Linked DNA regions of Drosophila melanogaster. The protein of the gene in region 1 interacts with the protein of each later gene in a pairwise test. Each region holds a gene or a part of one and is shown on either strand. Other genes may lie near its edges.

The links.
Region 2: the proteins of eIF2alpha (region 1) and CG5808 interact in a two-hybrid assay, tested with the Drosophila melanogaster proteins (one large-scale study listed by BioGRID).

Annotation. Positions count from the first base shown.
Region 1 is NC_004354.4:16,439,383-16,455,459, forward strand, and holds eIF2alpha (eukaryotic translation initiation factor 2 subunit alpha), read right to left. Parts: upstream 7,612-16,077; 5' UTR 7,498-7,611; coding exon 6,803-7,497; intron 6,504-6,802; coding exon 6,173-6,503; 3' UTR 5,794-6,172; downstream 1-5,793. Other genes in the region: Cdc50 (cell division cycle 50), read right to left, coding at 215-380, 445-780, 835-1,030, 1,275-1,543, 1,760-1,820; rngo (rings lost), read left to right, coding at 2,401-2,638, 4,111-4,594, 4,659-4,944, 5,008-5,376; CG34015 (uncharacterized protein), read right to left, coding at 8,278-8,316, 8,390-8,580, 8,649-8,838; eIF4H1 (eukaryotic translation initiation factor 4H1), read left to right, coding at 9,316-9,347, 10,492-10,797, 10,932-11,218, 11,893-12,177, 12,320-12,409, 12,537-12,703. UniProt on the Drosophila melanogaster protein: eIF-2 functions in the early steps of protein synthesis by forming a ternary complex with GTP and initiator tRNA. This pre-initiation complex mediates ribosomal recognition of a start codon during the scanning process of the leader region.
Region 2 is NT_033777.3:24,809,260-24,825,593, reverse strand, and holds CG5808 (uncharacterized protein), read left to right. Parts: upstream 1-8,586; 5' UTR 8,587-8,641; coding exon 8,642-10,275; intron 10,276-10,337; coding exon 10,338-10,665; 3' UTR 10,666-10,691; downstream 10,692-16,334. Other genes in the region: niki (nimA-like kinase), read left to right, coding at 211-896, 960-1,098, 1,162-1,445, 1,500-1,673, 1,729-2,238, 2,299-2,467, 2,525-2,710, 2,764-2,996 and 1 more; Saf-B (scaffold attachment factor B), read right to left, coding at 3,428-3,800, 3,869-4,294, 4,348-4,497, 4,827-5,865, 6,745-6,791, 6,894-7,008, 7,156-7,183, 7,244-7,732 and 1 more; CG34150 (uncharacterized protein), read right to left, coding at 10,730-10,896, 10,960-11,041, 11,102-11,245, 11,297-11,317; lili (lilipod), read left to right, coding at 11,944-12,018, 16,108-16,232.

The DNA.
Region 1 (16,077 bases):
TACTATCAAACGCTACTTAATTGTCAATACTTATCGCGCACCGAGCAAAACGCTAATTTGGCCATGAGAAACGATTCGGCTTCAATGGGGAATGAAATACTCGACTCTTAGCAGACTTAATGAACTATAATGCTGTGGGAGTGGGGGATAAGGGCAGGATGAATGACGATCGGTACAATGAGGATGAATCAACGATGTGCGATGATCAACTCACCTGCGACTGCATCGCATATGAATAAATAGCAGGGCCAGGCCCAGGGTGATGCAAATGGCACCCACCACAATGTACGCAATGCCCAGGAACGGGTTCTTGCCACCGAGCACGGATGTGGTGGAGAGTATCATTCGCTTCGTGCCGTCGAACGACACCACCGGATAATCTGAAGGGCAAAACACAAATACATTAGATACAGCATTCGCGATATCCCAGCCATTCGTACTTACTATACTTAATGTTAAGCGTATAATTGCCAGACTTCAGGCCGTTGGCATAGTTGGTGTTCGTTTGGTTGAGACGGCGATATAGCTTCCGGAAGCTGGGCAGAGCGGCGGTGCGCATCCACACGATCAGATCCTCGTTCTGGAAGCCATTGTTGTCCGGATTCTCCGGGTCCAGGTCGGCCAGACCCTTCTGCCAGAAAATTGGCTTTGAGAAGCCCTCAAGGGAGACGTTCAGGTTACCCTCTGGGTTTCGGAACTTGACGCGCTTGTCCGACGGCCAGGCAATGCCCGTCTTCAGCAGCTTGATCTCGGATCCACCCTGCAAGAGGGTCAGCGTGTCTGGAAGATATCAATGTTAGTTGCGGTACAGTCAAGGTAGTTTCTGTGCCGCACCATTGAACAGCGAGTTGGCAATGGCACCGCAGGGCGCGATGGGCTTTCCGGAATCGGGATCATAGGCGAAGGGGGCACAGTCTGTACTGGGCGTTTGCGACAGGTGACCCAGCAGCTGCTCGTCGTCCCGTGACTTCACATAGCGCCGATGGTTCTGATAGTAGTTGGTCAGTCCGTAGTACATGTATACCACACCCTTTAAAAAAGGAAGTTAACGAAATACTTAAATGAGAATCTCTTTCTAAAGTATTATAAGGAATCCAAATCCACTATCAATATCATCAATATCTTTTCCAAACCTGCTAAAAGCAATGTTGATAAATGCCTTGCAGATTATAAAAGCAGCATATAGCTTTTCATTTGAACTACTTCACTACCTAAACTAAGAGCTGATTAATTGAGCTGGACAGCTACTGAAGCTCTGGATCCCTATAACTCACATTGAAGTCCGAGGGCAGGACGAAGGGCACCTCGCAGGGGCACGTAACGCCGGGGTTGGCCTCCAGATACTCCGCACAGGTGGTATTTCCGCCCGAGCGCCTGCACTTGGTGTAGTCGATGATCAGCTCGTTGGCGGTGTTGCTCAGGTGGAGCAGGACCACGCCGATGGGTATGAATAGAACTCCGATAACGAAGAAGGTGGGCAGTACGGTGCGGGCGGTCAGGACGGGCTGCCAGGCGGGCAGGCGCTGTTGCTTGAAGGCCGAATCTGTGGGTGGACAACATGGGAAACGGGCAAACGTGAGCGACTTGGCATGACCTCATGGTTAATGCAGGGACACCAGGATGGGCCCCGAAAATCGATTTGCCATTGGATATTAGTCATTCCCCTCCTTATCACTTGTTACGCAGACAAGTGTGTGTGAGTGTGTTATTGGGGGATTGGGATTTGGATGGGGCGACTCGCATGAAACTGGGTTTTCACCTGAAGGTCGCTTGGACTTCGCCGCTGCACTCTCCTCATTCTCCGCTTGCTGTGTGGACATGGTGGCTTATCTGGTTTCTCGCTATGCTCCTCGAAAAGCTCCTTGGTGTCCAAACGCTGCAAGTGACTCCAATTGAATAAAGTAAATACAATAAAATTTCGATGACAGCACATGAGTCATCGATATGTATCGATACCTGCAGTGATGGTATATATCGATGAAATTTTATCTATATTTAGCTTTTGCTCCATTTGGCTTACCTTTGAGAAATATGTTAAACTAAGGTAAGAGGAAAATCATTTGTCTCTCCAAATTCGTCGTAATACCTCCAAATGAGCAATGCTCTAGCCATCCCATTCAACTATCGATAGTCAGACCGCGAATAGTATCGATAAGGCGTCGCATGCAACCGCGTGGAGGCGGCGTTTTCGTTGTTGTGTCAAAACAATAAGCGAGCAGCAGAATATCAGCACACCCATCCAGCTAGCAAAGATAAAGGCGAAAAGGCTAGACCAGCAGAGATTGTGATTCACTTTGCCACCCACCAGTGCAGTACATACCCGCGCTCGCTAACATTCGATCCACCTAAACCACGGTAACACAGAAACGCCAACACACATACACACAGTACGCAGCGGCAATGAAAATCACAGTGACGACCAGCGATGACAAGGTCTTCTGCTTGGACGTGGCCCAGGATCTTGAGCTGGAGAATCTCAAGGCCCTCTGCGCGATGGAGATCGGTGCGGAAGTGTCCCAAATAGCGGTAATTTTCAACGGGCGGGAGCTTTCCAGCGACAAACAGACGCTGCAACAGTGCGGAGTCGGCGACGGCGACTTCATCATGCTGGAACGACGCAGGAGCGCCAATCGCCCAGGTGAGAGAGAGAGAGAGTTGAAATTCGGCGTTGGAATGGAAACGAGATGGGAAAGTGGAAAGAGCGGGGTGAAGAGAGGGGGAGCCATTATCCTTATGTGGGTCACGTTTTTCCCCGTGGAGGGGGGGGGATCTTGAGTGTGTTTTGGAGGATGGTGAAGGGGGTTCATTGGTCAGATAACGCGAATTCGCACAATAATAAAATTAATTATTGTCCTACATGATCCATAACACGTTTATATTCAAATGTCGCTTAAAAAATACTTCAGCAACATAATATTTAGGAAAAACCGGGAAACCCCGAATACGTAGTGCGAACATTTCATTTAACAATACTTTTGCAATGTGAAATTTGAACTGTGCTCATTTTTTTTTTAATTTGTTGGCGTTATTAGTTGCTAGATTTTTATGGAAAAGCGCAGCGAGCACAGCTCATCTTTTTGCGGCGCAATTGGTGTTAAAAATAAACGCCTTGCTTCGTCTGACTTTCTTTTCGCAAATTCCAAAAAAACAGCGGCACACAGACACGGGAAAGAACACTGGAAGTGTGTGCTGTTTCCACTGCAGCAGAGAGGGGGGTTCGGGTTCGGTGAGGAATGGGCATACCAATGAAAGTGGAGGAGCAGCAGCAGGTGCGTTGCCTTTGCCTCAGTCTCAGCCCCATGGATCCACCCACTTGGGCCGCCCACTGTGGCCGGACCACTGTTTTGTTGACCCCTGAATGCGCATTTGGCCTTGTCAGCTTGTCCATTGAAATGGGATCGTGTATATATAATTGTTTTGCTATATACATATGTACATATGTATGAATGGTATTTCTGCACACATGTGCACACATTTTGGCGACTGCAGACAGGTGTGGGCGGTGAACAATTTTCGATTTCATTTGACCATTGCACAGCACTTTGGACTCCATGACTCGCACGCGAGCAAGCTCATTTGGCAGCCAGAAAATGAGTTCAACTACATATCACTTATCTACAGATATGTACATATTATCTAGTTAACACAACTGCACTTGCATTGGTTTATCTCGCTAGTCTGATGTTTTTAATTCGATTATAGATCACAGATTAATTAAGTTCCATTCAAATTGGATGACGGTGATTTAATCTATCTCGACAAACGTTTATACATATGCACATATGTATATAAATGTTTGTTGTATGGTAATTAGCATGAGTTATACGCAATCATTTATTTCACAATCTGCAAGCCAGATTATATTTGGGCAAAATTTGTTGAGGTTTTTAGGTATTGCTTGCTCTTTCTTTCTCAAAATTTGTTCCATTTTACGCGTAAATATGTTGATAATTTTCTCGATTTGTAGCAGATAACTGCACTGACCACAAATTGTCTTTTAAACTATATTCAATGTAATCGATTCGAATATTGACAAATGTAATCCTGTAAAGAAACGCAATAGAAAACTACCTCAATCGATTAATCTTTCGTCTCATTCAAAAATTTCAGTTGGCGGAAATCCAGCGATCAGCACGCTCGACTTCAGCAACATCGCCGTGCCGGGCACTAGTTCAGGCGGCAGTCCACCGTCAAGGCGGGTGCAGCAGCAGGGAGTGCAGCAGCCGCAGTTCAACAACCTCACGGACATACCCACGACCGATGAGTTCAATGTGAACTTCGACGACGACCCAGAGACGGTGCGACAGATGTTTCTGTCCAGTCCCGAGACTCTGTCGCTCCTCCGGCAGTACAATCCCAGCCTGGCGGAAGCCATCGATTCCGGCGACAAGGAAAAGTTCGCTCGGCTGCTTCGCGAGCATATTACGGAGCGAAAGCGTCGTAACGAGCACCGCATGCGCATGCTAAACGCCGATCCCTTCGATGAGGAGACTCAACGTCTGATTGCCGAAGAGATCAAGCAGAAGAATATCCAGGATAACATGGCGGCTGCCATTGAATACAATCCAGAGATCTTTGGCACGGTTACAATGCTGTAAGTAATGGTAAAAATAATTAATATGATTGGATTGGCTCATTGCAATATTGCATATTATTAGCTATATCAACTGCAAAGTGAATGGCATTCCTGTGAAGGCCTTTGTGGACTCTGGCGCCCAGACGACGATCATGAGCAAAGACTGCGCCGAGAGATGCCATGTCAACCGTCTGATTGACACACGCTGGAATGGTGTGGCCAAGGGCGTTGGCACACAGCCCATTCTGGGCAGGATACACATGGTCCAGTTGCAGATTGAGAACGATCACCTAACGTCCAGTTTCACCGTGCTGGGCCAGCAACCCATGGACATGTTGCTGGGTCTGGACATGCTGAAGCGACATCAGGTAATGAAATCTAGATAGCATCAGATTACGTCGCCTAAATGCTAATTGAATTGGTTTTTCCAGTGCCTGATTGACTTGCAGCGTAATTTGTTGATTATTGGCACCACGGGAACAACGACACCCTTTCTGCCGGAAAGTGAGCTGCCGGTCAGCGCCCGGCTGACAGGAAACTCGGAGGATTCGATGGAACAGGAGGCGATTTCCAATGCAATCGAGCAAAGCAAACGGGAGAGCGGTGGCGCCGGTGGCGGGCCCAACACGATCAGTCCTCAAGAACGATTCACCGAACAGGATGTCACCGATCTCATGGCCCTTGGCTATCCTCGCAGCGATGTGCTTACCGTGCTGCGCCTGTGCGGCGGTAACAAGCAGGCGGCCAGGTCCGTGCTGCTCCACCGCAACGATGCCGCCTCGGGGAGCGAACTCAGCTGAACGCGGCTAGACGCACAGCCCACACCACCACCTAAAGCCGAACTCCCCATAGCCAGAAACCGGATTGCAATAGGATGATGAACAGACTGGACCCCATTAACTGGAAGCCGTTCCAACGAAATACTCCGAGCAATACCAAATAATAAGCCACGCCACGCCACATATAAAGTCAAATAGGAAATAGTAAGGACTATACACAACCACAAAGCAATGAATACCGAAACGAAAACCTTTCTAATTTAGTGAAATGTTTATAAACTGATGTCACTTTTTTTATACGAATCGTTTGTTACGATGTACAATATCTAATTAGGGTGCTACGCAGCACTACCGGGTCATTTTTAAAGCAGAGGTGGGTTGGTTTTTTCTAGAGAGAATAGTAAGCGATATAATCTAAAATTTAATGAATGAAAATCTGGACGGTGATGGAAACAAGCCGCATCAACGAAAACATGAAACAAGTAAATACAAAAGAAAAACGAAAGAATGCCTGACTATTAAATAATATTACACTTATACACAATTTGAATTAGTATTAAGGGTCTGTCAAGAAAAACTGAATTGGGTTCAATAATAAATGGTCGATAGTATTGTTTTGGATTTGAAAAGAAAAAGATGAGCAAGCGCATTTTGATTTGTCTTCTTGGGCATCTCGCTGTTTTCACTTTTATAAATCTTTAATAGCATTCGTTATATGTTATGTATATAAATTATAAAATTACAACTTCTGATTTTTGCAAAACTCCTTTAATTGTTTGTTACAGTTGCTATAGTTGTGTCTGATGCTGTGGCTACGCTAATCCTCTTCCTCCTCCTCATCCTCCTCGTTCGCACGACCCGCCCCCGATCCCTTGTGGTTGAACTCCTTCTCTGGATCGAACTGCATGCCCTCCTGGTCGGCGCCATCCTCCTCGTCATCGTCGCCAGCCACCTGGGCGTTCTCGGCCTCAGCGCGCTCCAGGCGTCTGGCCAGATCCGCCTCGTCGATGGCCGTAACCAGTTTGGGTGCCATGATCACCTTGAACTCTCCATCGTACTCGCTGGTCTTGGCGCGAATGTGCTCAATGGCCACCTCCAGAGCCTTTAAACCGTCTGTCTTCTTGGTAGTGGATGTGGTCATTACATAGCTAAAAGGATACGGATGAAGAGCGATTACGTTTAGGAACCAATTAACTCATTTAAGCAACATTTTTAGTTATTTCGATTTCACAAGAAGTTGTAAAATTAAATTGAATATAAGTTTTTCTCTTAACCAAGTGGTCATTTACAATATATACAAGATGAAAGGGATTTCCTTATTATTTAACGATAAATTTCGGCTAAAATGAAGAACAGAAATCTACAATTTTCGTATTCTTTTAATTAAAGAAACCCTCGTTAATTTCGTCTACACCAAGGGAAATTACAATAGTTTACAGGTACTTACAGTGGCGGTGCTATCAGGTTGATGCGAATGGGCAGCTCCTCGGTGCTCAGCTCCAGGCCCTTGGTGAGCGATGCCTTGACAGCGTCGATGCCCTCGTAACCGTAGCAGGAGCACTCGATGTCCGCACGGATCTTGACAGTGGGCGAGACCAGCTTCCGCTTGATGTTGCTCAACAGGACCTCCTTGGTCTCCGGTTCCAGGTTGCACTCATCGAAGACGGTGGGATCGGTGACCGATTGCTTGAAGATGTCGTAGGCGACCGTCTTGTTGTTGTACTTCTTCTCGAAGTGCCAGGCGGTCTTCTGGTAGAGATCTTCCAGCTTCTCGTTGCCCTCGAAGCCGAGTATGTCGGCGACATGGCGGAGCAGTGAGTTGATGGCCTTGGCCTTAGCGAAGCGCTCGGTGCACTTCTCGACATCTTCGGGCGAAACGCGACGCTTCGACAGATCGATGTAGCCCTTCTCCTTGTCAACACGGATAACCACCACCGGTTCGGTCTTGCCGACACGAATCAGCTTGTTGATGGAGCGGATGCGCCGGCGGGACAGCTCCGACAGCAGGATCATGCCCTCGATGTTGTTGTACTCAAGCAGATGAACGTAGGCGCCCATCTCGGCGATGGACAGCACGTTCACCATAACGACATCCTCGATCTCCGGATACCGCTCGTTGTAGAAGCGCGACGTCAGGGCCATGTTAAAGTCTGTGGTCTATGGCCAAAAAATGGGCAATTTGGACTTTTCGAAATGAAAAACGTGTACAATTTCTGCCGAGCGGGCGCAAGAAGAAGAAGCGTAAGGTATGACAGTGGTGTTATCGATATTTAATTGCGTAGCCGGCAAAACGTTGCCAATTGGATTGCTTCTGGTCACACTGGAAAGGTGGGGCAGCAGCGGTCTATCGATTGTTTGTCACATGGATTGCCGGTCAATTTCAAATTTTACTGTTTTGGTTTTAATTTTGATCAGAACATTCGAAATAATAGTCCAAATGTGGAATGCCATCCCTTGGCGAGCTTGTTATTTAAATACCAATCAATTTCAAATTGGAAATGTTAATTTTTGTTAAATTTATTGCAATATTACAAAAATTGCGAAAATTGACCCAAAAGTTAAATTCTCAAAAAGTTATATAGATTGCTAATACTGATAAATAGGAATAAAAAGCAGTTGTTCTTTTATCTATATGTCACTTTTTATCCATGTTATGATGATAATTCCCATATGTCAAATTTTCATTTTTCATATTTATCTGTTTAAATTTGCAGAACATTTTAAAAGGTTGCATATTATCGCATACAAAAAGGCCATTAAATATGTAATGACATGTAGCTTGAATCGGTTTTTTTAGAAGCTACACTTTTAATTTAAAGAACATTAGAATATTTGTATAGGTTGGCTCCGTTTATTAGTTAATTATGACAGCGCGCGAGTACAATATATATTTATCTAACAGTTATCTATGATGGTCCCGATCTATTCTTTTTGGGAAAGGTAAATACGCGCCTCGTCGACCTATAATTAAATAGATAAGATTAAATTAAAGCGGGCCTCTAAGTGGTCAAAATCAGAATAGCCAAATACTTACGGTTTTGAACCAAACGGAGGGTCTAAAGATCATCTTAGATAGGAAGGTCATTTGGGTGCGTGGGCTAATGGCATGCATGTGAAGATGCTTCACCGTGATAAACGGCGGCAGATGGAATCCGAAGAGGGCATCATCGACAGAAACTCCCTTGGACACCAGAAGATCCTTCAGGGCGTTCTCCATGAGCTGCACTGTAAGGAATCCAAGGATATCAGAATTATTAGGGCATGGCCCGAGGTCACGCCAATTCCAATCTTACCCAAAGAATCGTGCGATTTGTTAAGATCCTTGAGGCTAGCGTAGTGCTTTTTTGTCACTGCTAAGTAATGGTGCTGGGAAGCGGGTTTAATGTCCTGGAAGATGACAAAGTCATCGTTTTCGACTTCCAAAACAGTGGAGGGGATCCGCCCATCGGAAATTAGGCAGAAAATGCAGTTGTCGTCCGCCATGACTTAATTTTAAGTTCAGTCTATATAAAATATAGCAGTTTGTACTTTCACAGCTGATTAGTTGTACTGTCGATAACGATAAGAACTATCCTGGTGCTCCAAAAAAAAATACCGCTAAATAGATTTTCAGTATTAAAAAAAACCATTTGTGTCCAGTTACTTTTAGTATTATTTTTTTCAACAAAAAAATTTATACAAACATATGTATTCCTCTCTATGTATTCAATGTCATTTTTGAATGTTTCATTAGAAAAGGAACAATTGTAGAATGCTAAACAACTATAAATATTAATCGATATCTGAAAATTGGACGCAATTGGGCATGCGTCCCTGCTAACGACCAAAATACTAAGAAAGGCGGCTATCAGCTAATTGGTGTGGTGACACTGCCCGACCAAATTCGCCGCGATAGTATTTTTCGCCCGTGTGTTCACACTGCGGTTTGCAGCGAATTCGCTCATTTGAAAAAAATAAAACATGGCTGGAAGAGGTGGTTATGAACACGCTAGGTAAATATTATTAATTATTTTTGCAATAGCGTACGCTCCGCGTTGGCCGCGAACCGCCGGTGCTTGTGAAAGTGGACGCGATGCGATCGAATTGCGCGAGTGCCGACAATCTGGGCAAAATGTGTAATAATGCACGCGGTTTTTTGGGGTTTGGGCAAAAAAAAAGGCAACACCAGCCCACCAACACACGCGCACGCTCTCGCCTCGCCGCTCGCACACCCATACAGTAATGTGCATGTGTATTGTACGTGTCGGTCGTTGGTCGCCGACACCGCCGCCGCCGCCGCCTTTGTACGTGCGTGCGTGTGCGTATGTGTGTGGTGTGTGTGTGTGTGTGGTGTGTGTGAGGGGCAGTGTGCGTTTTTTTTTCTTAACATTCTTTTTCGGTTTTTATTTTGTCGATTCTTTTCATCGCTTGCGTTGTTTTTCTTGGAAAACTCTGCTGCAGCTGTCGTCGGCGCCAACGTCGACTACGCCGCTGACAGCACACCGGCAGATTTCACATTAAAATCCCCCCACCCCTCATCAAAAAAAGAAAAAAGAAGAAGAAAATATGAACCCAAAAATAGTTGCAAATTCCATGCATAATGCAATTTTCGCCAAAAAGCGCGCGCGATTTAACCCCCACCCCCCTCACCATTTGACACCTGTCCCACTGCATTTGTTGTTCTTCGGTTTTTTTTTTATTTGTGCCTGCATCTCTGTTGACTGTTTGCCGGGAATCCGAGCCAGCGTTAGCCGGCCACATAGATAAATGCCGACCATGTGCGTTTTGCCCCAAGGGGTGGCGCCACAAACCACCACCACCCCCCCCCTCACACCACAGTCCCTCAAAAGGGAAGAAGAAGAAGAGACAGACACACCCCCATTAATTGGATTCGATGTCAAGGTTCCCAGGCCACGGAGTAATCCTCCACACAAAGGGGCACAGCAAATACCAGGAGCCAGAATCGAGCACACCATGCAGTTGCTTTGGTTGCGCAAATCTATAGAGGGGGATCTGTAATCCAACTTTAGAAGCTAACATACTACATGCAGAATAGGTTTTTCATGGGTGCATCCCATTTCCAAGATTCATTGCCTTTAAATTTATTAGTGTACTTACTCTACTAACCATTCATTTTTATTTCTCGATATTTTTCAGAAGCGGATTCGGTGGGGATCGGGCATCCAAGCAGTTGCCCACGGAACCGCCGTTCATCGCATTTGTCGGCAATTTGCCGCAAGGCCTTGTGCAGGGCGATGTGATCAAAATATTCCAGGACTTTGAGGTGAAGTACGTGCGGCTGGTGAAGGACCGGGAAACGGATCAGTTCAAAGGCTTCTGCTACGTCGAATTCGAGACGCTGGACAATCTGGAGCGGGCGCTAGAGTGCGATGGTCGGATCAAACTGGACGATCTGTCGGCGCCGCTAAGGATCGACATTGCCGATCGGAGAAAAAATGATCGGTGAGTTGAGACCAGATGATTGTATACTTTAGATTGAATCGATTGGAGCTCTCCATACGAACAGAGCACATGGAGCTTTCTAACGATTCCCCAATTTTATCACTTGACTAACCATATTTTGGACTTTCTTACAGCCCTGGTGGCGGTGTTGGCGGCGGCAACGGCGGCATGACCCGCGGCGACGGCGGCAGAGACGGTTTCCAGAAGCGCGGCCCACCTCGCCAGGGCGGCAGCAGTCAGTCCTACAGCCGGGGAGGTCCTGGCACTGGCGGCGGCGGTCGGGAGGGCGGCGGCGGTTCGGGTAATCGCGGCGATAGTAGAGGTTCGTACATTGATAGTTATGGTGGTCACAATGATAGAAGTCGCGGCGTCGGCGGCAGCGGCGCGGGCTCCGGCGGTGGCATGAATAGAGGATACAATGGTAAAGCATTTTTATCTGCCGTCCAACCAACCAACCAACCAACCAACACGTAGCTGCATCCCTCGTAGTGCCGCCAAAAACCAGTTATACTGATTACTTATAACGATTCTAAATCATTCGCATGGCTGGAAGACACATCCATGCTGCAATCCTCGAAAGTGAAAGTAGAATTTCCCCCATTGTTCTGTTTCGATTATCGTTTATGTTCCTACCTTGGCATCCTACTGCGGTTCTACATTCTGATCTTGCGTTGGTTTTGCTATATGTTTCAAGGAGTTGCCACAAGAAAAGACTATACAACCGTAGAAGTAGTAGTAGTATGTTTGTGCACATCATTATTTAAAGAATTGAAAGAACAACATGTTGGAGTCCTTGATTGGCAGGAATCCACAGATGGTTAATCGAAACTGATCGACAAGTTAATTTCTTTTGAAGTGGGTTTGCTACATACTTATTACTCCTGGACTGCTAGCTGTTACCGCCTATTTCCAACCTTCTTTTGAGCTTAGTTTGCGCCCATTGAAAACGCCCATATTGATAGCTCCCCTGTAGCAGTAGCTTAAGCACATTCGCACGCTTTTTACTTTGAACTGCATTTAGCTAGCATGTTGAGCCTAATTGTAAGCAGGTTACCACATGGCCCACAGGCACTAATCTAGTTGCTTCCGTTGCAGATCGGCCGGCAAATCGTGGTCGGTACGGCAGTTTCAATAACGACGATCGACCATTCGAGCGTAACCAGGATCGGGATCGCGGTCAGCGGGAAGGCAGCTATGGCAACCAGTCGCGCGACGGCGATCGCTACAACAACTTCAACCGGCACCGCGACCGCGAGCGCACCCACTACAATCCCAACCAGCAGAGCGAACGTCCCAGTGGCGGCATGACCGGCCTTGGCGGCGGCTCCGGCGGATCAGGAGGCCTAGGCGTTGGCGGTGGTTCCTCAATGGGCGCCATTGGTGAGTTGTAATAATAAGTACATACATATGTAGATGGGAGGATAGTCGAGGATAGTTTGTTTCAAACAAAACGCTAGGAGAATTTCATGTTGTTGTCCATATTTGCAAAGCATTAATTTACCTATCCATTCCCTGCCCACAGACAATTTTAGACATTTCAAGAAACCGATTTCAAGAATTATTTCAAATATGTGTCAATCGAGAGTATCACAATTAGCCGTACCACGTACTAGTAAGTCAGTTTAATGCAGGTTTTCGTAGTACTTCATTCATTGCATTTGAATGATGTACATGTAGGATTTAAGTTTGCCCAACCGATCAACCACTTATCAATTTACCTATCCGTTTCATATCCGCAGACGACAATGAGCGGCCACGTCTGCAGCTGAAGCCACGGACCATTGCCGCGCCCATTAACGCGGTGGCAGAGACCAAGCAATCGGCCTCGATCTTTGGCAACGCCAAGCCGCGCGAAGAGAAGCTGAAGGAGCTGCAGCAGAATGTCAATCACAACGGCGATAACTAGAGGGCTGGAGTTGGTCCGCAATACAATATATGCCTGATATGATATTTTGATGTGCGAGAACGAGATAATCCGAGATAGAGGGAGAGAAGGCGAGGAAGAGAAGAGGAGGAAGCAGAAATAGCAAGGGGGGAGGAGGAGGAGGAGGAGGAGGATGATGATGATGATGACGATGACAAGGAGCATCAGCAGCATGCATATATAAACACATACATTAATTAATAACACTACGCTACATACCTATTATATACGAATGATATGTACTACATTACAAGAACGAAGATGGAACAACAGGCTGGCCTCTGTGTCTCTGTGTCAGTGTCCAGTGTCAGTCAGCAAGCAACTTAACAACAAGCAACAAGCAACATGCAACACGCAACATCAGCAACAAAGCCAAGCAGCAATAATGCAACTATTCTAACTCTTTGCAACCAGAAAACATCCGCAACAGCAATGGAAAGTCTTTAAATGTTAGTCCTTAAGCAGCGATAAACTTTAGTCTCGTGCATATGGCCAATATATATAGTATATATATATATATGGTATATATATATATACGGTTATGTGCGCTTCATTGTACAGCAGCTGTATGCACGCTGCTATTTGTTAGTTAAGTGATGGATATAAACCAACAAAACAAAACATAAGAGGAGGAAAGTTCTACCATTAAGGTATAAATAGTAAACAAAAAACAAGTAAAACAAAACAAAAAAATGAAAACAATGCAAAACAAAAAAGAAAAAACTCGAAAAACAAAGCAAAAATCGAAAACAAAAACTTTTTGACAAAACGTTCAGCGTAGCAGGCAGGCAATTTATACAGTTTATATAGGAAAAAAAAGATAAAAAAAAACACACAAAAAAAAACATAACAAAAATAATTATTGAACAGACATACCTTATGAAATTAAAACACCAACAGCAGATCTTACAAAACAAATCGCAGAGAAGCAGAACATCCACTAAGTACGTAAAATAAAAAAAAAAAATACAAAAAAAAAAAAACCGGAAAAGTTATCATTTCAGATTCACTACAGAAAACTTATATAGCTACCGAAAAGCAATCAACTACATAGGTCTTATGTAGCTGAAGATAGTGTTAAAAGTCAAAGCCGACCAAATTATGCAAATATAATTTGGATATCCATATCCACCCATTATGCACTTCACATATTTAGGTCAATTTTATTTACAATTAGCTTCGGTTCGAATGTTTCTTTGCCTATATGTGTACATTTACATTTCTAACATTAAATTATCGTGCACATAGGATCTGATTTCTTTGTAGATAACCTTGATATAAGACGAAAAAAAAGAAAAATATGGAAAACAATGTATACATTTTATTGTTGTTTGTGTGTTTCAATTATTATTTGCATAAGTAAGAGCGTTTTTCCTTAACGTCATCCTCTTTGTTTCCTCGCCAGTTTTTTTTTTTTTACAATTTTTTTTGTACCTTGCAAGAGCTGATTAATCGCGAAAGTTGTACATTAATTTGAAAATAAAGCGAAAACAAATTAAATAAGCGTGTACCGTATCGGTTTGGTGTTTTCCTTCGCAAATTCGATTTCGAAATTCGATTTTTTCGGAGTGCGGCTCACAGAAAAAAAAAAGGTCAGCACTTTGTATATATACAAAATAATCAAATCATAACCCGTTGTTGGAAGTATCCAATTGTTTTGTTGTCCAGTCCGAGCCGGCCATGTCCTGCTCCGGATTCTGACACCAAGCCCCTGTCCATTTCGATTGCGATAAGATAATCCAAACCAATCCAATCCAATCCAATCGAATCCACTCCACTCCAATCCAGTCGAGTTCAGTCCAATTCAATATCTCAAATGCACAGCCGACTTGACCGACTTGACCAGCTTAGAAACCAGAGTGAACCAGCAAAGAAGCAAATAGGTATACAGATCAGATCAGAGTGTGTGTAGCAGTTAAAGTAAAGATTACGTTTAATATACCTTTAAAGCTAAAGATAAACTTAAAATTTAATTTTTAGCACCAATACCGTAAGCAGTCAAAGATTTACACTAACGAAAGTGGACAAACAATATTTGTAACTCCTTAAAAAAAAAAACAACAACAACAAAAATAATAAAAAAAAAAACGAAAGAAAGAATGAAAAAAATCGAAAGACGAGCGACAAAAACTAATTGAAAGTGAATGAATTAATAACTTGATCGAGTTGACAACTTAATTGCTGCTCTATACCTAATTAAGAACTTTGATATGCATTTTAAAACGCCCATAAAGACAAGGACAAAGAATTGTTTAAATTAATTAACGTATAAACCAAAAGCAAAGCAACACTAAAACGAGAATTTATACAAAGCAAGAGTTAGACATTAACGTACATCATAAAACATCTATATATACACGCAGATATAAATAAATATACGATTGTGCTATGATTAATGACGAAACTGATCGAGTAAGCCAGGATTAAATAGCAATTCTACTCTTAGCAACCGCAATAAATTAAAACAAAATACACAAATGCAAAACTAACCGAAATTAGCAAGCAGTTAGGGCAAACAATCGTAGATGTGAACGAAGAAAATATACATTTTTACCAATTACCAACATCAGCAGACATCGCAAAATGCAAAATGCTAAATGCTAAATGCAAAATGCTAACTTCATGTAACTTACATAACAAGAAATGAATATAAACAAATCAACAAAGTCAAATCTACAGACAACAATATGTTTAATTAAGTGAATGATGAACGAACGCTAAACAAAGTTCACACACAGCATTATAACGAAATATATAAATATATATACATACATATATATATTTTTTGTTGTTTGAACATTTTGTACGATACGTATATATACACATATATACACATAACTAAATAAATAAATAAAACAAATTATAATACAACTCACCTCGTTTTGATTTACCGGGTCATTACATTTAGCGAGCAACAAATAAAACACGAACAGTTTTTCATTTGCATAACAAATTCAATTAAATCTCATTTTATTTCAGTTTTGTTTGTTTGTTTTTTTGTATTTTTTACAATTTATTAAGCTAAAGTGTGAAAAAATTTCGCTTTTAATTTATATATATATCCTTTTGTTTTTGTATTGTTTTTTTCTTTCTTTTTCATTTATTAAATTACAATATTTTTAGGTTGCCCCTTTATTAATTTGATTTATTTTAAATGTTGGGTTTTCTTTATAAATTATACATAAATTATGCAACTTGTTTAAGAACTAAAAAAGCGTTAATTATTTATATATAATGGAAATAAAAATCGTTTACTTTTATCTCATTTTCTTTGGGCTTTCCTTTGTATTTGCTTTCTTTTAGTTCATATTTTTACATTTAGATGTTATTGTGCAGTTTTGGTTTCCTTTTTGTTT
Region 2 (16,334 bases), on another chromosome or scaffold:
TTGTATCCCCTCGTTCCGAGCTGTCCAATTAGCGAGCCCACTGATAACGCGAGCACGGGTCCACCCAAACAGACGTCGTGTCACCCACTTTACCTAGCAACCATTGTGACCACAACTATGGCTGGAACATGCCAAAGGGTAATTATACAATAGACAGGATACGATTCGATTTTGGACGGTTAAGGCGTAGGTTGTGTCCTCTCGAAGGAGATGAAGAAGTTCCGGGCCAAGGCGAGCTCCCTGCCCATTTTCAACGGTCGCATAACCGACGCCACCACGCTGACCACCAGTTCGCTGCAGTTACCCCTGGGTCAGAATACGCAGCGGAAGCAATCGACTTGCACTCGAGTGCTGCCCACGGTTTTTACCATTACGGACGGCACCACCGGAGCGGCGAGTACCTCCTTAGCGGAGGCCATGTCGAGCAGTAAGGCACAGATGCCCAACCGACAGGAGAGCCTCCTGCAGCTTAGTGTTCCACGGGAGACGGGAGTGGGAGTGGCAGGACCTGAATTGGCTAACTATGAAAAGGTGCGGGTGGTGGGCCAGGGATCCTTTGGCATCGCCATCCTCTACCGACGCAAGTCCGACGGGCACCAGATCGTCTTCAAGCAAATCAACCTGAGTGAGTTGAGCCCGCCTGGTCGGGATCTGGCTATGAACGAGGTTGATGTCTTCTCGAAATTACATCATCCGAATATTGTGAGCTACCTCGGTAGCTTCATCAAGGACAACACTCTGCTTATCGAGATGGAGTACGCCGATGGAGGTACCCTGGCCCAAATCATCGCCGAGCGGCAGGGAAAATTGCATTTTCCTGAACGATATATAATAGCCGTATTCGAACAGATCTCCAGTGCCATCAACTACATGCACTCGGAGAACATCCTGCATCGGTAACGAAGTCATTTTTATATATTCTAGAAGAGATTTGATTACCATATTCGTTTTGTATTCAGGGATTTGAAGACCGCGAATGTATTTCTGAACAGGCGAGGCATTGTGAAAATCGGAGATTTTGGCATATCCAAAATAATGAACACCAAGATACATGCCCAGACTGTTTTGGGCACACCCTACTACTTCAGTCCGGAGATGGTAATAGGTTTAATGGGTTGATATATGTAAGTCACTATACCCTAATACTGTCATGGTTTCCAGTGCGAGGGTAAGGAGTACGACAACAAGAGTGACATTTGGGCTCTGGGCTGCATTCTGGGCGAGATGTGCTGTCTGAAGAAGACCTTTGCTGCCTCCAATCTATCCGAATTGGTAACCAAGATTATGGCAGGGAACTATACACCAGTGCCATCGGGTTACACATCGGGACTTCGCAGTCTAATGTCCAATCTGCTTCAAGTGGAGGCACCACGGCGACCTACCGCCTCGGAGGTATTGGTCTACTGGATTCCACTGATATTCCGTAGCCTGGGAAAGAACAAAGGGTATGCCTGAATTCTGTTGCCACTAGCAGCTCTTGACCTCTCACGATATCGCAGGTACTCCTATGAGGATGATGTGGGAGGTCCGGGTAGCGACCAATTGACTGCTCCTGTTCCAGCCGCCGCCTACAGCAATGTGTCCATGGAGTTGGAATTGCCCACCGCCCAGACGGAGACCAAACAATTGATGATTGCGGATACAGCGGCGCCGCACGAGATCCTTGAGAAACGGTAATGGGTTAGTCAACGTCAGCTCCGACGATCTAATCCAGACGACCACCTGCAGATCCGTGCTATACCAGCTGAAGGCCTTCGGCACCTGCTTCAGCATGGCGCCCATCCAACTGCCGCCGAAGGCTGTCATCGTGGACGTTGCCATGTCGGATTCCCACTTCGTGGTGGTAAACGAGGACGGATCAGCATACGCCTGGGGTGAGGGCACCCACGGGCAGCTGGGTCTCACAGCTCTGGAGGCTTGGAAGCACTACCCCAGTCGTATGGAGAGCGTGCGCAACTACCATGTGGTGAGTGCCTGCGCCGGCGATGGCTTCACTATCCTGGTTACCCAGGCGGGAAGTCTGCTAAGCTGCGGCAGCAATGCCCATTTGGCACTGGGACAGGACGAGCAACGCAACTACCACAGCCCCAAGCTAATAGCCCGATTGGCAGATGTCCGGGTGGAGCAGGTGGCCGCTGGACTCCAGCACGTTCTGGCCTTGAGCCGAGAGGGAGCGGTCTACGTCTGGGGCACCAGTACGTGCGGTGCTCTTGGCCTTGGAAATTATCAGCAGCAACAGTGGGTTCTAGGAGATTATAATTCATTATTGTCATCTATCTCTATAATTCATAATCCCAGGAAATTCCCCCAAAAGATTCTGTTATCGCATGTGAAGACCAAGCCATCAAAGATTTACTGCGGTCCTGATACTTCAGCTGTCTTATTTGCCAACGGGGAACTACACGTCTGTGGTAGCAATGACTACAATAAACTCGGTTTCCAACGTTCGGCGAAGATTACTGCCTTTGTAGGTCCACAACCTTGAGTTACCCACTTATGCTTACCTTATAGTTCTCATGCGCAGAAAAAAGTCCAACTGCCTCACAAGGTGACCCAGGCGTGCTTCTCGTCCACCCATTCGGTGTTCCTGGTGGAGGGCGGCTATGTTTACACCATGGGTCGAAATGCGGAGGGTCAGCGGGGAATCAGGCACTGCAACTCGGTTGATCACCCCACCCTGGTGGATTCGGTTAAGTCTCGATATATTGTGGTTTGTATTATTCTGTGTTAGTTGAGAAATCCCTTCTAAACCGTCGCATGTAGAAGGCGAACTGTAGCGACCAGTGTACCATTGTCGCCTCGGAGGACAACATCATCACCGTTTGGGGTACTCGTAATGGCCTCCCGGGGATTGGTTCGACCAACTGTGGCCTGGGACTGCAGATCTGCACACCCAACATGGAGCTGGAGTTGGGAAATAACACGGCAGCGTTTACAAACTTTCTGGCCTCGGTCTACAAGTCGGAGCTGATACTGGAACCGGTGGATATATTAGCGTATGTTTTCATTTTGCAACAGGGATTTTATTTTTACCTGCATCTCCTGCAGTCTCTTCTCTTCCAAGGAGCAGTGCGACCGTGGCTATTACGTCCAGGTGCATGACGTTTATCCTTTGGCACATAGCGTTCTGGTGCTGGTAGACACGACCACGCCACTAATATCCTCATACGAAGGTGATTACCCGCACCTATAGGTTCAATAAATCCTGCAGATGTAACATAAATGTATGCGCATTTTCAACATAGTTTGATAATACATTTATTGGTTTCCAAATGTAATTTTAAGTTTTAGAACTACAACTAAAGCTCATTATATTAAGAGCAGCGCTCCTGGGCGCTGCTGGAAAAGTCACTCAGGGGGGTGTGTTGGATGTGGGGATGCATGCTTGGAAATTCGAATTGCCTCATTTTATGTAAATGCACATTTCCTAGTAGCGCGACACCGGTCCGCTGTAGCGATCCTGGGCGGGTCGGCTCGCGCCGTACATTCCGCCTGCTCCTCCGCCCCCACTCTGCCCTTGATAGCCGGTTGAACGTTCGTTGTAGCCGCGATCGAAGCGCGCGGGCACTTGCCGCCAACCGTTGTCGTCAACGGGAGCAGACTTTTGCCACGAATTGGTGCTGTGCATATTCGAGGACATGCCGTTGTTGCCGTATGACTTAATTTGGTTGCCGCCGCCGCCACCGCTGCCCAGGTGAGAGCTGCTTCCGCCGGATGATGGCGCCCAGATGTTAACGCTGTTCGAACTGCTGCCGTAGGCTCCACCGCCGCCGCTGGAGTTGTCATAACGCTTGTTACCGCTATAATAAAAAATTAGAATAGTTAGAATCCATCGTAACTAGTTTAATTCTATTGTTAAAACTTTTACAGGCTGTGGGAGTCGTCGCGTCTATAGCTCGATGTGTTGCTGCGATCGGAATCGTTGTAGCGCCCGCCAGTGCCGCTGGTGTTGTTCTTGTGGACGTAGGATCCGGCTCCGCCACCGGCTGTGTTGTTCTTGTGCAAATACGAGCTGCTTGAGCCACCGCCGACAGTTCCTGAAAGTGGCAAATGACGGACTTCATCGCGCTTATAGTCGTCGCGCTTGCTAGAAGAGGAGGCACTATAATCGTTGGAGCGCTTCGTGGGCACGGCAGTATAATCATCGACAGCGCCACGCTTGGATCCAGAAGAACTGCTGTAGTCGTTACGCTTGCTGGAGTAATCCAATCGCTTGCTGGAACTAGAATAGTCATCAAGCACGCGCTTGGTGCTCGACGAGGATCCGTAGTCATCGTGTTTTTTGTCATAGGTGCTGCAAAGACATGATTGTAACTCGCAAGTTATTTTCTGTGGAAGAATACTTACCTGCGGGAGCTGACTAGATTCGTGTCGAATCTCGGTGGTGGTGGCGCATCAAAAATAGCTGTGCGCTTACGATCAGTAACGTCTCCATAGCGGTCGTCGGCACGTTTGCTTACCCCGCGCTTGCCAGGATCATCGCGGGACTCCATGATCCTGTTTGTGTAAATCGACAAGATTGAGAGGAAGAGAGATGGAAGAAATAAAAGAGTTGAGTTAGTAATGCTAGTAATGTCAGTTCTGGAGTGAAGTGGGGGTATCAGACTCAGACTTTAGACTAGGATGCATTTGCCTATCAACGTTCCGCTTAAAAGCAATTTGAGTTGAAGAAACAACGTGGAGGCTGCAACTTAACACGCTAATCACAAGGACAAATGCTTTCCGAGAGAGTATAAAATAAATATATTGGTATATCTGTGTTGTCGCCTCTGCGTTGGCACGAGTGCAACGCATTACGGTCTGTTTTGGTTTTTTTTTTAGCATACTTCATCTGTTGTCGCTTCAGCTCGAGGCGTTCCAGCTCGATTTTTTCTCTCTCCAGCTTCTGGCGCTCGCGCTCCATCCGCAAAAGCTCGGCCTTCTCCCGCTCGAGCCGTTCCCGCTCCACAGCGAGCTTGCGCCGTTCTTCCTGCAGACGTTCCTCTTCGATTCGCTGGCGCTCACGGGCCTCCCGACGGCGACGCTCCTCCTCACGCAGCTCACGCTCCCTTTCCCGAAGGCGCTGGCGCTCGCGCTCCTCACGTATCTTCTGGTAGGACAGCATCTCTCGTTGACGACGCTCGCGCTCCCTCTGGCGCTGCTGAATCTCACGGTCGACGTCGCGTGGATTGCGCCCCGAACGATGATCCTGACTACCCTTTGCGGATCGCTCGCGATCGTGGCGCGGTCTATCCTGGCTTGCCAACGACTTGCCCCGGTCATCGTTGCGACGGCTGCGGGCCCTGTTGCTCTCCTTGCCATCACGCTTTAAATCGCCACCAACAGACTTGCTGTCGCCGTTTCCATCGCCGCCCTTCTTGTCATCGCCACTGTTGGAGCTGGAGCCCTTGCCACTACCAGACTTTTTGCCACTGTCGTCTTCCTTCTTCTTGTTTCCGGCGTCGCCCGGAGCCTTGCCCTTGCCCTCTTTGGAATTCAAGCTGCCGCCAATCTCGTTCTTGGTACGCTCCACCGAAATGATGCGTCCATGCAATTCGGTGCGGTGCAGATTTTCGATGCAACGCGAGGCGTCTGCCGAGGAGGACATGGTCACGTATCCGTAGCAGCGAGTGCCCGGAGTACGCGTATTGGTGACCACCTTGGCCCCAATCACCTTGCCAAACTTGGAGAAGATTGCCTTAAGGTCGCTGGCACGGGTTAAAGTGGACAGCCCAGAAACCCATAGATTTCGCGACAGCGTCGCCTGCTTGTTGTTTGAGTTGGCCCCAGTACCATTGCCAGCACTGGAACCGGATCCCGATTTACTGCCAGCGGCACTCGATGCAGTGGAGGATGTGGCACCACCAGGTGCTGCTGTCGATTTCTCTGCAAGTTCCATGTAAATAATAATATTGGAAGAGAGATATGGTCAGAGCTTTGAGTGGGCTTAACTGGTTAACTGTTTTTGTTTATGATACGTTTTTAAGGGAAGCATTTTGTGAACGCACACATTTTGTAGCTGCTGCAGATGTTGGAGTTTAGAGCACAATCGTAAGATTACCGACAAACTTCACCTAACGAAGCTAAGAGAGTATGAATTTGATTGGGTTGCTGATGAAAATCCATTGCGGCAGCAGGCTCGCTTTTTGCTGAAGGCGTTCAGAGTATAGAGCAGCATATCCAGAGCTGACTGTTTAAATAGCTGTCAGTTTCCATCGTCATCCACAGGTAAGGCCAGCATATCCTAGCCAGGATCGAAATAAGTGATGTAATACAAATCCAGTAGTTATCTGCCGAGAAGAATTAAAAATATCCGCACTTCCCAGCTGCAGTAAGGGAAAGGTGCCATCCATTTATTCTCCAGATAGCCTCATTTTATATTATAGGCCCCTCAACGGAGTATTTGCACATACGCCTATTGATGACCAATGTTATAAACTCCTTGGAGAACATTGGGATGTGTGTTTGATTAGTATGAAGTTTCCGTCGAAGTTAACTGGAACAAACACTAAGATTAACTCGAATTGCTGAATTTAAGATGCATCGCTGCTCCTGAGCCGAATTCTCGCATCCTTGTTGATAAGAGTCCCATGTCCGTGTCCCAACCAAATTCACACTCTCTTGCACGGTCTTTGATACATGTTCCTCAATGGTTTAGTCAATTTTTTCGACCTTAACTGGGTTCATGCTTGGTCTGATCATTCCCAACGCAAGACCATCCGAACACACCATTCTTATTCATGCTAAAACTTTAACTTAATTTACCTTTATCGTCCTTTTGATTCGACGACTTTCCTGAGGACTTTTGTTCACTATTTTCCATAATAATTTATGCACAATCATGTGGCGAAATGAAAAGAAAAAATATATTATGTTATTAGAAGACATGTCACAGAAACGTTTTCAAATCTTACCTAGAGTCCTTCTTATCACCGGATTTCTCATCCCTTTTCTTGGAGCGAGCTCCGTCGTCATTCTTCTTGTCGGCATCCTTCGAGTTAGACTTTTCGGATTTATTGGCCGGTTTGACTGTGAATCAGGATAACTTTTATTAACATATTAGCTTTATTTCTTGTATTTCGTATTTCTTAATCGATTGCATGAATACAAACGCCATGATATTTCTAGTCATGAATTATAAATTTTCTATGGTTTTGAGTGATACTGCAAACATACCAGACTTAATAGATTTGTCGTCGGAAGCCTGAGGACAAAACAAATTGGATTAGAATACATCAATTTAAGGCCAAATAGTTAAAATCACCTCATCGTGCAGCAGCTTCTGCTCGTCCTCCCCAATTGTCAAATTGATTGACTCGTCATTGTCCATATTTCCGGTGTCCCCGGTGTTTTCCTCCTCACCATGGATAATAGCCTTGTCGTCGCCATTGTTCTCGGCTCCATCGTCCTGAGCTTTCCCCTCGGCATCGCCATCACCGCTCTGGGGCTCATCGTCGTACACATGATCCTCATCCTCTTCATCGTCGTCATCCAGGATCACACACTCATCGTCCACATCTCCCACCTGGTCAATCTCATGCCCATCGTCGTCGGCATGATGCGAGTAGTCGTTGCCATTCTGGTAATCATCTTGCTGTTCCACCTTCACCTCCTCCTCATTGGCATCGATGGGCTCTTCCTTGATCACCACCTCCGACTGGAGATCTTTCATGGGCATGGCAAACGGCTTCTTGGCCTTCGCGCCCGGCACAATCAAGTGGGTGGCCGGGTCGAGCCCTTCAGCTCTGAGTGACTTGAAATTAGAAAAAACCAGGCGTTGCTTACACACATTCATAAATCCCCGGAAATTGCATCACTATCTCTATCGCCAGCGGCACTGAACCGCCATTTAAGTTGCATACATATTTGTGGACTTACTTTTTCAAGGCGTTCGATGAGCACCGCCTTGGGGCCGACTGTCTCCAACTCGCGTTTCTCCAGCTCACTCTTTAGATCGCACACGCGCAACTCTGCTATTTTCTTTCCTGCCTCGGGCATTTTACCTTGTTCTAGATCACTGGTCACTTGCTTAACTATTAATTGTCGCTTTTTAAGATTGGAATGAAATTTTCTGTACTTTTTTCCAGTCTCGAAACGTGTGAAAATTCTTTGACAAGTCTCACTGATACACACACAATTATCGAATGACAATCGAAAATGGCGATTACGAAGTTACGTTCTGTTTTTAAAATATTCAATCGATGTCAAGTATCGGATGAACTTACGCATCGTGTATAACTATTTACATTTACAGGTATGGACTTCTTTGATCAATTTGTATTTTCTTTATTTTTTTTCAGTTTTGTTCAGTTTGTATTTTTTTTACTTTTTTCTCAGTTTAGGGTACATAAAAAAAAATATTTTTTTTTCAAAATTTATGTAAAATACCAATTTTGTACAAGTTTCATATAACACCGACATAAGTCACATTAAATTAATAATTGTATTAGAAAATTTGGATAATTAATTTATACCTACAATTTATACACTTCTCTCCTCCGATGCGCAGTAGAGATGGAAAAACATCGATGATTCCTCGAAAAACATCGATGTTTGTGATTTTTCGAAAGCATCGATGATATCGATTTGGCATCGATGTTTCTCCACCTCTATATTGTTCTTGTTTATCCCTTGATTTTGCCGGTATCTGTGAATTCGCACAATGTCGGTGGTTATAGAAACCACGATGGGTGACCTGACCGTCGACCTGTTCATCAGCGAGCGCCCAATTGCCTGCCTAAACTTCCTCAAGCTGTGCCGGCTGAAGTACTATAACTTCAATCTATTTCACACGGTGCAGCAGGGATTCATCGCCCAAACAGGCGATCCGAGTGGAGCTGGAGACGGCGGATCCTCCATCTGGGGCGTGGTGGAGGGTCCGCAAAAGCGCTTCTTCGAGGCGGAGTTCCTGCCCAAGATTAACCACTCCAGTGCCGGAATGCTATCGCTGGTCAGTGCAGGCAAGAATCTGGTGGGATCCCAGTTCTTCCTCACGCTGGGTGAGAACCTAACATCGCTGGACGGCAACCACTGCGTTATCGGTGAAGTGGTGGAAGGTCACGAGGTGCTGCGCAAGCTAAACGACGCCATTGTTGACGACAGCTTCCGTCCTTACCAGGATATACGCATCACACACACTGTTGTGCTTGAGGATCCGTTTCCTAATCCGCGCGGCCTTCAGGCTCCAAGTCGCTCACCTTCGCCCAGTGCGGAGCGTCTGAAGAACGGGCGCATCGCTGCCGACGAGGATATCGATGACACTGATGGCATGACCGCGGAGGAGATGCAGGAGATGCTGGCCGAACGAGAGGCCAAGGCTCGAGCCACAATCCTTGAGATTGTCGGCGATTTACCCGATGCAGACATGGCTCCGCCAGAAAATGTCTTGTTTGTGTGCAAACTCAATCCTGTTACAACCGACGATGATCTGGAGATAATCTTTAGTAGCTTCGGCGTGCTTAAAGGATGTGAGGTGATTCGCGACCGCAAAACGGGAGATTCTCTGCAATATGCTTTTGTGGAGTTCGAGGATCAAAAATCTTGTGAGGCCGCATATTTCAAAATGGATAATGTGCTTATCGACGATCGACGCATCCACGTGGACTTCTCCCAATCCGTTTCAAAGGTCACCTGGCGGGGCAAAGGACGTGGTATTGAGGGCGACTATAGAAAGCTGGATTTTAACAATTTGCGAGACGACAAAGATCACAGGAAACCAAACAATGGCCGGTCCAGAACAGAAGACCATAAGGAGCGCAACAGGACGGAAGATTTTCGAAATAGGATGAGCTCTGCAGAGCGAAGAAAAGCGAGAGAACAGCGACACCAGGAGCAAAGCGAACGAGATGTTCGAAAGAATTTGCAAAGACGCACCAGATCGAAGGAAAAAGATGAAAAAAGTGTTTATAGATCGAAAAAATCGCAAAATGAGTCAGTCAGAGAGAACTCAAATCGCGAAAGGAATCGCAATGAAAAAAGGTCATCGAGGTCTCGGGATGCAACACATAGAAGGTACTCTAGGTCAAGAGATCGAGAAGAGAGAAGGCCTTCTAGGCCTAGAGACCAATTAGGAAGACGTTCTAGGTCAAGGGACCAAAAGGAAAGAAGACGCTCTAGGCCAAGGGAACAAAATGAGAGAAGGCGTTCTAGATCTAGAGATCAAACTGGAAAAAGACCGACTCAAAACAGAGATCGCAATGACAGCAGGCGATTCCATTCCCCTCAAGAAGGAAGACGTAACGATGAGAGATCGCATAGAGAAACCTCCAGGAATCAAAGAAGATCGCCAGAGCGGAGGTAAAAATGTTAAGCATCTGGATGTATACAAAATCTTTAACTATCTATCTATCTTTTTATAGGCAACAATCCAGGAACCGGGAAGACCATAGAATGGACACTCACTCAAGCCCTAACAAGAGTCATGAGAAGAAAAGAAAACTTTCAGTGGAAAAGAGCAAAAAGCAAGCCAAGAAATCGAAACGAGCAGCTAGCAGCAGTTCAGATTCGAGTGAAAGTTCCTCGGAATCCGAAAGCGACTCCACATCTTCAGATAGTTCCGAGGACAGCTCTAGCAGCTCCTCATCGTCGGACGATCGCAGCAAACGCAAAAAGAGTACAAAATCCAAGCAAAAGAAGTCCAAGTCAAAGAGTAGTCACAAATCGAAGAAGAAACATAATAGAAATTAAAGATAAACGACGTAATTAATCAGAACAAAACCATCTTGACTACAGCTAAATATTGAATATATTTTTATTTGTTGCGGGCCTGGACTTCGGCTTCCAGCGCCGCCATCGCAGCGCCACCGCAGCAACCTTCAGTGTTTTTGTCGCCGCGTTGCCTGCGCGGTTTTTCGATAATTGCGTCAGGATTAAAGACCACATTGTCGAGTCGCGTTGTCTCTGGCGTGATCCTTAGTTCTGTAAATATAGCCAAATTTTAATTTTGAGCGCTCTTTTATGTAATCGCCATGCCCCACTGACCATAAACACCATCCTCTTTTTTCTGGGCTTGGATGACATTCGTTCGCAGCTCCAAATCCACGTCCTGCGCCAGCTTGATCATCTGTAATTTGCCAAATTGCCATATATGTACTTAGTTAGAATTTACAAAAAGTGGTTAAACCTTTTGAATTTCATCCTCGCTGCTTTCATTACGATTCTGCAGGAAAGATTCGTTGATTTTTAGTCGTCCCGCCGCCAAAGCATTGGCATCCCCCTGAAAAACGTATTGTCGTGTACGGTGGAGCTTCTTGAAAGCACTGAGAACCTGGAATACAAACAATATTAACCGATTATTTATGATTTTAAGTTAATTTACCTGGCGCCGCAAATTGGACATTTTTGTATGGTAACAGCTGACAGATGTAAGGTTGCCAGAATGTCTGAACCAATTGATAGTTTTTAGGGTTACAGTTTTCTTAACTTGAAGATATTGCATTGGTATAATATTTTTTTCTCTAATAATAGAGGTCAATAAAAATTTTAAATTCAGTATTTTCTTTCCAATTCAATTTTTTTTTTTTTAGAGATTCAATATTTTCCTTTCTAAACGTAAGCACATACATCGAAAGCTATCGACCTATCGTCAATTGTCCACCTCTAGCAGATGCGGTCAATCTGACGCCAGTTTATAGAAATCTTTTAACGTTTCGGTCGTAAATCGGCTCGAATGCTAGTAGAAAATTAGTGACCAGCGCAAAACGGGTCGAAAGGCAATGCGGCATCAAAAAGTTAACTAAATTAATCACAATTACCGTGCGAAATCAGACAGTGCAGCGCCACAGCGACTTTAATTCAGAAAATTTGTAACCTGGAGCGCATTACTAAGAAGGACTGTTGCCCATAGGAATTTGACAGACTCTGGCGACTGTCAAATGTGTATGTAACATTTTTAAGTGAGGCGTGATCTAGGAAAAATTGTGAAAACTGGCTACCAGCGATAAATTGTCCAAATATTTCGTGGGCATGGACGAAGAGGAGGAGGAGGAGGTTACGGATCTAAAGCTGCAATTGTTCCACAATACAGTACGCGAGCACATTGTAAGTGTTTTTCTGGATTGAATTCATCCCCTTTCCACCCAATTTCCCACCCCACTACGCATAAAACAACAACAAGAACTCAGGGCGCAGCTGTCCCTATTGTTGTTGTTCTAACTGTACATGTGGCTGGGTGTAAAATGCGTGCGACTTCTGGAAATTACACACACTTCGCCTGGTCTTTTGATAAACAGAGAAATCAGTTGCTGGTCGTCTACAGAAATGTATTTGTTTATGGTTCTGTTATCGGTTTCGGACTACAGTGGTCAGCACATTCGGCGCCTGCGTTTGGGCTTTGTATATAAAATCGGGGAAGGAAGTGGCGGCGATAGCCACTCTCTTCTTGCACTTTCTATTTGAGCTGCGAAAATTATCACGCAGACACACCAAAAGTGGCCCACACGGACGGACACCTGTTGTTAATCAAAGAGTTTAGACACAATCGATGATTCGACGGCGAGATACTTGCTACCATTACCAAGCTTTATTCGTTTCTATTTTATTATTAGAACTTTATAAACAAATGTTTTTTTACATGTTCTTGTTTACAATTAGATTAATTAAGAACAATAGGTTCTTAAAATATATGTTTTAAATTTCATTAAAATATTACTCTCCATTCTTGTTGAATATTTAAATTCCAATATCCAAATGGAAGGCAGGCTTAAATAGTTTCATTAATAGTTCCCAGTAATGTTGCCCTTAAGTTAATTGGTTCTTGTGAGTTCATAAGCCCTATCAGAATGCTTAGGTTTTGCTATTTGAAAAATGGAAGGTAACTAGAAGTCCAAGGTATTGATAAGATAATCAACAAACTTCACTTAATTGGTACCAATATCGTAGAACTTTCAATTGAAATCAAATTTTAAACAATTCAGGCAAAAACAAAGAAAGGCAACATAAGCAAAAGCAACAAGTGAAAGTGTTTCACTCGAGCTACTATTTATAGAAATGTTGGGCGTGTAATAAACGAAACCAGTGATTTATGTAAACAACAGACTGAATCGAATAAAAACACATGTTTATTATATTGCGCAAGGCATTAATTTCCTTTTGTGAAAATTCGGTTAAATGGCCAAAACACTTGCAGGCCAGATTTCAAGTGCACGGCTAGTGGTCACGATTTGGTACCGTCTGGGTCACTGAAAGTGTCTGCTGTCGTGATCAGCTGTTGGATCTGTTTAAACAATGGCAGACGAGGCGTTAAATGGACACATTTGAAAGGGTTGGCATAGACTGGCGTAGATACAATACACTTGCAGGTTGCTTTTTATGCCACCGATTATGATTTGTACGTCTATAAATACACATTTCTTTCATTGAGGATGATTCTGTGGAACTGGAACAGGAACAGGAAATGGAAACTGGTTTCAGTCAGCGGTTCTGATTGCATTGGATGGCCGAAAATTGAATAATTCGTCAGAATGTGGGTCAACATACCGAATACGTGATGTGTGGGACTCCATGCAATAATGAAATGCAAACAACGCAAAGCTCTCATAAATAATTCAGGAACCTAAAGCCAAACCCGAATTAAAACCACTAATGCCAAGTGTAGTAGCAGGAAATTCTGAGAAAATACATACAAACTTATTGTGTAACACCACACTTATGTTCTTAGTCATTTCCCAAGTAGTGATTAGGGAAAAGTCTGATGAAGAAACTGAATTGGGTAACTTAAACCATGACCAAAAGTCTTGCAAATGCAGTTCCCCTCATTAGAAAACACATTTTTATTTGGAGTCATTAAAACAATTGGGACGACTCATACAGCTCTTCTCCACTTTGAGAATCTGAAGAGACGCTACATTCTAAAAAATTATCTGAAATGATAAAATGAAGAGGTATCAATAGGCGTAGACCAACCCACCTTGCAGCACATATGGATACAATATATACCCCTGTTCGGCACAACTATTGGGTATAGAAAAGTATAAATATTTCGCAGCCCATTCACCGGCAAAGTTGTCTACAAATCAAGCCAAAACCCGTCCGACCGGCGATCCTCTTCCCTTCTCCTTTTGGCCTGGCCACAGTGTCGTCGTTTTCGCTGGCTTCTGGCTGCATTTTGGGCGTAGCTGCTATTTTTAGCCAAATCGTCGTCCACATTTCAATGGGCGTGTTGTGTTCCCCCTCGAGTTCATGTCAAGTCATTGACTCGTCGTTCGCCTACGATGCAAGTGCGGCTAATTCCGAGGCACAGATCGTTTAGTTTGGCCAAATCCAAATCGCTTGGAGCGTGACAAATGCCACTTGGGGCTGCGCATTGCAGTTGCACGTTTTCTCGACTGACAAGCACTAAACTAAGCTTGAAGATCGCTGGCTCAATTGTTTCCATTCAGGAATGCCTGGCGTACATATTATAAGATTCTCATATCAGTTGGTATTCGTCGCCTATGTGTTTCAAGTTTAACACGTCATAGTCTAGAAAATACACTGCGTTTCATAGCTGCATAGCTGGCCTAGATTCTATAAAAATGCTCTGTGCATATCACATTAGTATTCGAATGCCTCGTTATCTAGATGCGCAAAATGTGTACTTTTGGATGTTTAATTATACTGCAACCTTATAGTTTTGCCATTCAGTGTATCTACATTTTTCCATGATCTACACTTGGGTTCTATAAATAAAGCGACGCACTCTGCTGTTGATAGCAGGCGATTTACGTCTCTATATTTAATTTTTAATATTTGATCATATTTTTTGTCTACTGTGTAGAGAAAACTGTTTAAATGTTGACTGAAAAGAAGGTCATTTCGAATGGCAAGATGAAAGGTTGGAATCCCGAAATGCGAAACGCTGCGAGCAATTAAAGAAAATTTCATTTAATTGATCTGGTCAAATGCAGGCAGAAGAATAAAGTTATAAGTTAATTAAAACTCGCGTTGTATAACGCAATAGAGTATCTCACAGATACCACTGAAAATATCTCGAATAGCAAACAAAGAATAGCAAAACACAGCAGGGACGTGAGTATAAACTAATGTTTTTTGCTCTCTCTGCATTTTTTCCCCAAGTTTTTTTTTGCTAGCTATAACATGAAAAGTATCTTCACTTAATGATTTATTTGTGCGCCTAGACTATTGTATTTTCGTATCCATTTACGTTTTGTTTTGTTTTCGCTTTTCGCATACACAAAAAAAGCGAAAATATGACGTGTGCCATGTGATTGGCATCTATATTTCGCGGTCCCAAAAATATATTTACCCTGCAAATGATGGGTCCAATGTTTGGAAATCGCTGATGAAGATTCAAATTGCCAACCTACTCGGATTTAATAGTCAAGAGTACGGATAATCAAATGTTGCTGACATTCAATGGGATTTAAATGACCGCTATCGGTTTAGTTCTTATCAAATGTTTCATGTTTTGTCGTTGGCCACAGATAAGCTTTCTTTTGTGACCTTTGAACGCAGACGAAATTAACTTTATTGGTCTAATTGACGGTCATAATATTTCATCGATTGCCAAGTGGTTTATGGTGATATAGGGTTGTAGGCAAAAGAAACCTGAGTACCTGTTCTATATACATACATAATATTATTTTAAGCATACATACCGGAAATTGAAAAATTGAAATGTCCGCAAACAAAAGTTCAAATCACTCTGGCAATGTTTTTGACGATTAGACCCTGAAACGCTTAAAATGCCAGACTTTGACACTAAATTGAATCATGTACACATATCAGTATCAATAAGTAATATATTCACCGAGCTAGATTAATACAGATTTCCCTAACTTAACGAATCGAAAATGTTTTTGGCTAATGTGCACACAGTTGGCGGTAATGACAAATATTTATAAAAACAAAACAAAGGAGATGCGTGGGTGATGTGTTTACTTTTTGACATTTGTTTAAACACAAGAATATGTGGGGAAATGTGCTATGAAAACCTCAATAAAATAAAACAAAAAAGACAATCGAGTCTAAATTTACTTTGGGTTTTACGTAATTAACCAACCTGAGGAGGGCGATCGAAATGTTGCAGTTTCTAAGGGAAAATAAATTTGATTATATTATAGTAAAATATTACTTAGCTGATAAAACCATAAAGCTTACTAACTTGCCATGTTGCATTGTTCTTTTCAGATATTCTTGCTACTGATAATCTTGCTGTACTCCAGCTCCTATGTGGTCGTCTCACGTTTTAGGCGGCGCGACCGTGACGATCTCTATTCGAATGACGAGGACGAGGTGCTGGTCTATCGCATAAGGTGAGGCATCCAGTGGTCAACAACCTGTGTCGCTAATTGCCGCGTCACTTGACTTGCACTCGCAATAATGAATGGTTTTCTTTGCTTTTGCCTTTTCCACCC